Saccharomyces cerevisiae S288C: one gene and its partner. Changing the gene in region 1 together with any one later gene gives a genetic interaction. Each region holds a gene or a part of one and is shown in the gene's direction. Other genes may lie near its edges.

Region 1 (4,683 bases):
TTTGGTCCATTACCCGGGGGTTAATATATCTTGAATAAACCATTGTATTATATCTCACTATATAGTAATTGTACAGTTTTGTCACTACTATAATCTATGCCACACCTTGCGGTTGCTGCTACCATGTCACATTCCCATTCTGCTAGATTCATGCAATTCTCTTAATATTTCAGTGGGTGACGTTAGGTAATTACCTTCTTTAAAACTTCATCTTCTTTTTTGTCATGTCTTTGTTAATATCATTCACATCACTTGTTGGAAGCTCTTCATTGCTTGTATTGGAGTTGCCGTTTGGCCCCAACGTCGTGGTGCGAGGAGAGATACCGCTGTTGCGTCGCCTCTTTGCGTGCAAGGGCTCGCTTCCACTGTCCTTCTTGTCGGCGTCAATGTACGCACTTAGGGCGGTCACGGGACTATCAATGTTCTTTTCAATTTGAAACTTTCGAAGGTTTTTCAAAGTAGACATAACGGTACTTATTTGCATGACTCTCATCAACCCTTCTTGAGTGCCAAACACAGAGACGTTTCTGAATACGTCAAAATATGATCTCAGCTGAGTGATGGCCTCAAAATTCGGAGGAACATTCGTAGCATTATTTTCTGCAAAAGAATTCCCTTGCTCTTTGACATCTTCTTGTTTCAATTTACGGAATATTTGTTCAATTTCTGTAGACTTTGTGTCATCACTCAAAAGCCGTTCCACTGCATTCCATTCAATATCAGGGACAAAACTATGCATAGATACGTCCAGCCAATTAATTTTCAAGTCCAAATCGAAAGCACCTTTCATTTGGGAAAAATGTGTAATATATGAACCATCAGGATAATAATAGACAAATGTGACACGAGGACAGTTGAAAAAAATCGTAGAATTACTTAGAACTTGTGTTTTCAATTGTAAAACCTTAACTTCCATTCTAACGATGCCAAATCTGCCTAATGTAGAGCAAATAACTGGGAACACTGGGATGATAAATTCGAATTCTCTATAATCTGTCATAGACTTTTTACTATACCTTATAACTGCATCAGGTGTAAAAATATCTGATATTAATTCTGTCCAGAATGAAAGCAGGCCAATCTTACCCATTGCCGTATTCACCTCATTTATTATTTCGTACAATTTCAACATCGCCAAATTAGATAAGTATTTTCTTACATGATACGGCACCCGTAACATAGATAAAGATGCCTGGGATGCAGACCGTGGTAACGGAGCAGCTGCCGTTGCTGCTGTAGCCATGGGATGGGGAAAGGATGCTACCGGCGTAAACATTGGCATAGACCCGCTGCCAGGGCCCCCAGTTGCATTCGTATTCTGCGCAGAGTTGTGAAAAGTTTGAGTCACTTGTGGAAGCTGGTTAAACACCTGCTGTTCTGATGAAGGCTGTGGAAATTGACCCCCCTGTGGTTGACCTGGAAATGGCACTTGTTGTGGATAAACCGTGGGCGGTATATTCTGCTGCGCGGTGGGAGGAAAGTTAATATTACCATTTGGGTACGGTGGTGTGTTATTATTCACAATGTAAGGCATCGGCACAGCTTGAGGAGGCGGTTGCGGTGGGCCTTGGTACATATTGCAGATAATCTTTGCTTTTCCTTCTGCCCCATGAACAGTGTCAAGTGTTGTCTTTATTGCTCCATAGTTAATATTTTTAGTTCAGGCGGGAAGCCCCACAAGATGAGAAAAGAAATCCGAGAGGCTTAAACAATACTATATGGGGCAAAGTTCTGCTCTATATAAAGAGAGGCGCATTTGCAAGAAATAGTTAAGAACTTTCCATAAATTGGTCAGATATAAATCAATTTATCGTGCTCAAATATACTATTCAGTTTCTCAGATATAGGTTGCACAAATTGGCAAAGTTCTACAAGAGTCATTCATACATCCCCTGATGAGTAAGATACTATTCTGCAAATCTAAAGTGTTCTTACACCCAACAAGCGATGCTAGAGATAATATTGCTGGTTTCCTGCTACTCACATTGGAAGCGAATAAGCTATCCCACCAAGCAATTCTCCAATATATCCCAGAATCTGGCTTATCCACATTAGAGATATCAAAACTACTAAAACATGAAGCTAAAGTGGGCACATGTCCAACTTCTACACCATTTGTTATTGAAAATTCAATAAACTTTAGTAACCTGGTCAATACTTCTTTAGGTCAAGCTTTCGAAATTTCTCTCTCACAAATATACTGCATCCAATTTAGGCCTCCTAGTCCAAATGGTTGGTATGTCGGATCTCTGGTAATATATCCCTTGACAGAACAGTTTACGGGCTTTCAACCTCCTGTCTTGTTCTTTCATGACCAACTCTGCCCATCAACTACGGACAAGTTAAAAAGACTACGCAAATCCATGAACCCATTTGATGACTCGGACGAATTGTATTGGGGTGGCGTAGATTTGAGAAACAAAATCAACGAACTGATGGAACTCAAGAAATCAAACTTAGAGCCAGAGTTTTGGTTAGTAAATCCCTCTTTGAATGATTTGAGAAATTTCGTTTCCAAGGATCTATTGGAAAGTTATAACAATTCGAAGAAAGATACAACTGAACTCGCTACCGCCGGTGTGAAACTAAACGAGAAATTCCAAGAATGGAAATGGAACGTAATGAGCAAGATAGCAGACGTGACTACCAAGTCTACCAATTTTATCGATAGTTGGCTGACTAACAACTCACCCATACAAAAATCACAAATCGACAATGAATACTTGCAAAAGCTTCTGAACAATGAGAAGGTTAAACAAATTGAACAGGATTATGACTCTGCAAGAGTGTATTTGGCAAACTGGTCATTAGGAGTAAAACAGGAAGCTGAGAGGTATCAAAAGCAGAACAAACTCTTTGATTCGTATAGGAATAACATTTTCAACGACCTGAATCTAACTGATGAATTAAGTGATACTGAAATAAATAATGCTCTGCAAAGACAATTTCCTTTAACGGAAGCGAAATGGAATTCGCTATGGGATGAGAACGATGGGAGGCTGAGGGTCACGGTAAACGAAGTTAAGGATTTCATATTTCATGGTGGGTTAGAAAATGACAGTTTGCGAGGGAAAGTTTGGGGTTTTCTCTTAGAAATATATCCGTGGGATTCTTCTCAAGACGAGAGGGTACAAATCGATCAAACTTTAGCCGCGGAATACGATCAATTGAAACTAACCTGGTCAAAAGATTTTTTACAATTTGACGATGAAGATGAAGAGGAATATTGGAACGATCAATTATTCAGAATATCTAAAGATGTGAGACGCTGTGATAGAAACTTGGAGATATTTCAATACAATACCATCGATGGATTACCACCACCGCCACAACAACTCCCAGCAAATGAAAATAACAGTACCAGCCCCGAATCCGCTAATGACGAGAGCGATGATGCAGACGATGGAGTCAGGAACCCACATTTGATACATTTACAAAACATTCTTATCACTTATAATGTCTACAACACAAACTTAGGCTACGTGCAGGGGATGACCGATCTTTTATCGCCTATTTATGTCATCATGAAGGAAGAATGGAAAACGTTTTGGTGTTTTACGCACTTCATGGACATTATGGAAAGAAATTTTCTAAGAGACCAGAGTGGCATCCATGAACAAATGTTAACTCTCGTGGAATTGGTACAATTAATGCTACCCGAATTGAGCGAACATTTAAACAAGTGTGATTCAGGAAACTTGTTCTTTTGCTTTCGAATGCTTCTAGTATGGTTCAAGAGAGAATTTGAAATGGAAGATATTATGCACATTTGGGAGAATTTCTGGACTTTCTACTACAGTTCACAATTCCAATTATTCTTCATGTTGGCCATTCTACAGAAAAACTCACAAGCTATTTTACAACATCTAAATCAGTTCGACCAAATATTAAAATTTTTTAATGAACTTAACGGGAAGTTGGATTGGAATGACCTAATGGTTAGAGCAGAGCTTTTGTTCAAGAAGTTTGAGAAAATGATGCACGTCATGGAAAGAGATTTACAAAACGTATCCTCCTCTTCATCCTCATCCTCTACCGGCGTATTGCCTTGTCAGAGCGAGAGGTTGACCCTGCTTCTTTCTAAAAAACCTATCATAAGACATGAAGGGCAAAGGAGCAAAAATTCCGTTAAATAGTGGTAAATAGAAACGGAACTTTACATATTGAATACCGGAGATATAATTCGTTTATGCCACATAATCATCAATACATCCGTAACCCGCCCGAAACGGAAAAACTGAAGAAAAATTACATAAAAAGTTTAATATTTTTATCAAATTTAATTGAACCTATATTTAGGAACATTATTGTTTTTAATTTCTAAACCGGTTGGGTTGGTCGATAGTTGTGCTCTGGATCATTGATAACCACTGACGTGTAATAGTTTTATTTCTTTGAAAAATTCAAAAGAAATAACAACACTCGTTCTCGGAAACAAGAAAATACACACAATAATGTCTACTATTCCCTCAGAAATCATCAATTGGACCATCTTAAATGAAATTATATCTATGGATGACGATGATTCCGATTTTTCTAAAGGTCTAATTATTCAATTTATCGACCAGGCACAAACAACTTTTGCTCAAATGCAACGACAGCTGGACGGTGAAAAAAATCTTACCGAATTAGACAATCTGGGCCATTTTTTAAAGGGTTCTTCTGCTGCATTAGGCTTACAAA
Region 2 (3,396 bases), 1.1 Mb from region 1:
TGTGAACGCTTCAGTATACAGTACGGCAGTAAGTGTTTCATTCTGTTCTGGATTAATAATCTTTCACTTTGCCTAGCCATTTGGGGGCGGGTTTTGGCTGGGTTAGCTTCTCCTTAGTCATGGAGAAAAAAAATCGCCCGCAAGTATCTCGAAAAAGGAAAAAATGCCCACGCGTATAAGAGTGGACCCAACTGCTCGAGGTTTCAAGAGCTTGTAGATTAATTTCTGTAGTTCAGTTATACTTGCCTACAAGTGCTATACAGCAAATAGCGAACAGTACGAAAGTAAACATCATATTATCAATAATGGTTCACAACAAAGTTACTATCATTGGTTCAGGTCCAGCTGCACACACCGCCGCCATCTATTTGGCCAGGGCAGAAATCAAGCCAATCCTATATGAAGGTATGATGGCGAACGGTATTGCTGCCGGTGGCCAGCTAACCACCACTACAGAAATCGAAAACTTCCCAGGTTTCCCAGATGGTCTAACAGGTAGCGAACTGATGGACAGAATGAGAGAACAATCCACGAAGTTTGGCACTGAAATTATCACGGAAACAGTTTCCAAAGTTGATCTGTCTTCCAAACCATTCAAGCTATGGACCGAATTTAACGAAGACGCAGAACCTGTGACGACTGACGCTATAATCTTGGCCACAGGCGCTTCTGCTAAGAGAATGCATTTGCCGGGCGAGGAAACCTACTGGCAAAAAGGTATTTCTGCCTGTGCCGTGTGTGATGGTGCCGTCCCCATTTTCAGAAACAAGCCATTGGCCGTCATTGGTGGTGGTGACTCTGCATGTGAAGAAGCTCAGTTCTTGACCAAGTACGGCTCAAAAGTGTTTATGCTTGTCAGAAAAGACCATTTGCGTGCTTCTACCATTATGCAAAAGCGTGCTGAGAAGAACGAAAAAATTGAAATCCTTTACAACACTGTTGCGCTAGAAGCTAAGGGGGATGGTAAATTATTGAATGCCTTGAGGATTAAGAACACTAAAAAGAATGAAGAAACCGATTTGCCAGTCAGCGGTTTATTTTATGCAATTGGCCACACTCCAGCAACAAAGATTGTCGCTGGCCAAGTCGACACTGATGAAGCGGGCTACATTAAAACTGTCCCAGGCAGCTCATTAACCTCCGTTCCAGGATTTTTCGCTGCTGGTGATGTTCAGGATTCTAAATACAGACAAGCTATTACTTCTGCTGGCTCTGGTTGTATGGCCGCTTTGGATGCTGAGAAATACTTAACTTCCCTAGAATAGATGAATTTTCCATTATAAAATAGATACACTCAAATTTTTGTATACTTATCCAACAAATCGTTACTTTCTCCTTTTCTTTAATAAAAAGCAAACCATGAATTTTATTTCTTTTCCCCATTATTAGAGAAAGCCAATACATAATCTACATATATTGCGTGTCTGAATTAAACTTTTTAGACACATGACATAGGCCATCGGCTTACTTTGTAACGCGTGGTTGCCTATACACCGACTATTAAGTTATGACTAATATTATTGCTGCGCTTCCCCACCTGCATTTTTCTTGTCGTCTTTGCCAAAAGGAAAAAAAAACCTACGCAGATTGACTCTCTAAAAAATGATTCATGACCAGACAATTCAGTAAACATAAACTCTGTTGCATTCATTCTTCTGGAAAACTTTATAATAAAGCATCTGATATTACAGCTACTGACAACTAAGTGAATTTAAACTGCAATAATCACAAGAAAACTTAGTATTCCCTTATCATGTCCGAGGCGACTTTGCTATCTTACACCAAGAAATTATTGGCTTCTCCGCCGCAATTGAGTAGCACAGACCTACACGATGCGTTGCTGGTTATATTAAGTCTTTTGCAAAAATGTGATACAAATAGCGATGAGAGTCTTTCCATCTATACCAAAGTTTCGAGTTTTCTCACGGCCTTGAGAGTTACTAAACTTGATCACAAGGCTGAATACATTGCGGAAGCTGCAAAGGCTGTGCTCAGACATTCCGACCTTGTTGATCTACCTTTACCCAAGAAGGACGAATTACACCCGGAAGATGGACCAGTAATCTTAGATATTGTAGGTACTGGTGGTGACGGACAGAATACTTTTAATGTTTCCACGTCTGCTGCTATCGTTGCCTCCGGAATTCAGGGCCTAAAAATTTGTAAGCACGGTGGTAAAGCTTCTACATCCAATAGTGGAGCTGGTGACCTAATTGGAACTTTAGGCTGTGACATGTTCAAGGTTAATTCATCGACAGTGCCCAAACTTTGGCCTGATAATACGTTCATGTTTCTACTTGCTCCTTTTTTTCATCATGGAATGGGCCACGTTTCTAAGATACGCAAATTTCTTGGAATTCCGACTGTTTTCAACGTACTGGGACCACTTCTACATCCAGTTAGCCACGTAAACAAGAGAATATTGGGCGTTTACTCAAAGGAACTTGCGCCTGAATATGCCAAGGCAGCCGCTTTGGTATATCCAGGAAGCGAAACTTTTATAGTTTGGGGACATGTTGGGTTAGACGAAGTATCACCTATAGGCAAAACTACTGTCTGGCATATTGATCCGACATCGTCCGAACTTAAATTGAAGACCTTCCAATTAGAACCTTCTATGTTTGGTTTAGAAGAACACGAGTTGTCGAAGTGTGCTTCATACGGCCCTAAAGAGAATGCGAGAATTCTAAAAGAAGAAGTCTTGTCCGGCAAGTACCACCTTGGCGACAATAATCCTATTTATGACTACATCTTGATGAACACCGCCGTGTTATATTGTTTAAGCCAAGGTCACCAGAACTGGAAGGAAGGGATCATTAAGGCAGAAGAAAGCATACATTCTGGTAATGCATTACGTTCTTTAGAACACTTTATAGATAGTGTGAGCTCCTTGTAGACATTATTTCATATGTTATACTTAAACTAGATAGAGACGTTTTATTTGTACTAAGCTGAACATTACCCTAATTACGCGTTATAAGTTTTAATCCTTCATTTTGAAGGAAAACAAATAAACAAAAAGTTGATGTGGAACAAATACAATGTGCGCGGATATCTTAAGCAACTTCGTTAGTTACAGTCCACACAAAGCGAAAAAGGGCTGATAAACACTCATGGACGAAGCGTCACATCTCCCAAATGGGAGCTTGAAGAACATGGAATTTACGCCTGTAGGATTTATCAAATCCAAGCGAAACACCACGCAAACACAAGTTGTATCGCCTACTAAGGTTCCAAATGCCAATAATGGTGATGAGAACGAAGGCCCTGTTAAGAAAAGGCAGAGAAGAAGCATTGATGATACAATTGACTCCACAAGGCTATTTAGTGAAGCTTCACAATTCGATGACAGCTTTCCAGAAATTAAGGCTAACATTCCGCCTAGTCCAAGGTCAG

The links. A genetic interaction does not mean that the proteins touch.
Region 2: mutations in GYP7 (region 1) and TRP4 together harm fitness more than expected from each alone (negative genetic interaction), as found in Saccharomyces cerevisiae (one large-scale study listed by BioGRID).

Annotation. Positions count from the first base shown.
Region 1 is NC_001136.10:33,690-38,372, reverse strand, and holds GYP7 (GTPase-activating protein GYP7), read left to right. Parts: upstream 1-1,895; coding exon 1,896-4,136; downstream 4,137-4,683. Other genes in the region: MFG1 (Mfg1p), read right to left, coding at 200-1,576; YPD1 (Ypd1p), read left to right, coding at 4,455-4,683. UniProt on the Saccharomyces cerevisiae protein: GTPase-activating protein (GAP) that most effectively accelerates the intrinsic GTPase activity of Ypt/Rab-type GTPase YPT7 involved in vacuole docking and fusion. It is also active, but to a lesser extent, on YPT31, YPT32, YPT1, YPT6 and SEC4.
Region 2 is NC_001136.10:1,182,994-1,186,389, forward strand, and holds TRP4 (anthranilate phosphoribosyltransferase), read left to right. Parts: upstream 1-1,753; coding exon 1,754-2,896; downstream 2,897-3,396. Other genes in the region: thioredoxin-disulfide reductase TRR1, read left to right, coding at 306-1,265; SPC110 (Spc110p), read left to right, coding at 3,114-3,396. UniProt on the Saccharomyces cerevisiae protein: Catalyzes the transfer of the phosphoribosyl group of 5-phosphorylribose-1-pyrophosphate (PRPP) to anthranilate to yield N-(5'-phosphoribosyl)-anthranilate (PRA), the second step in tryptophan biosynthesis.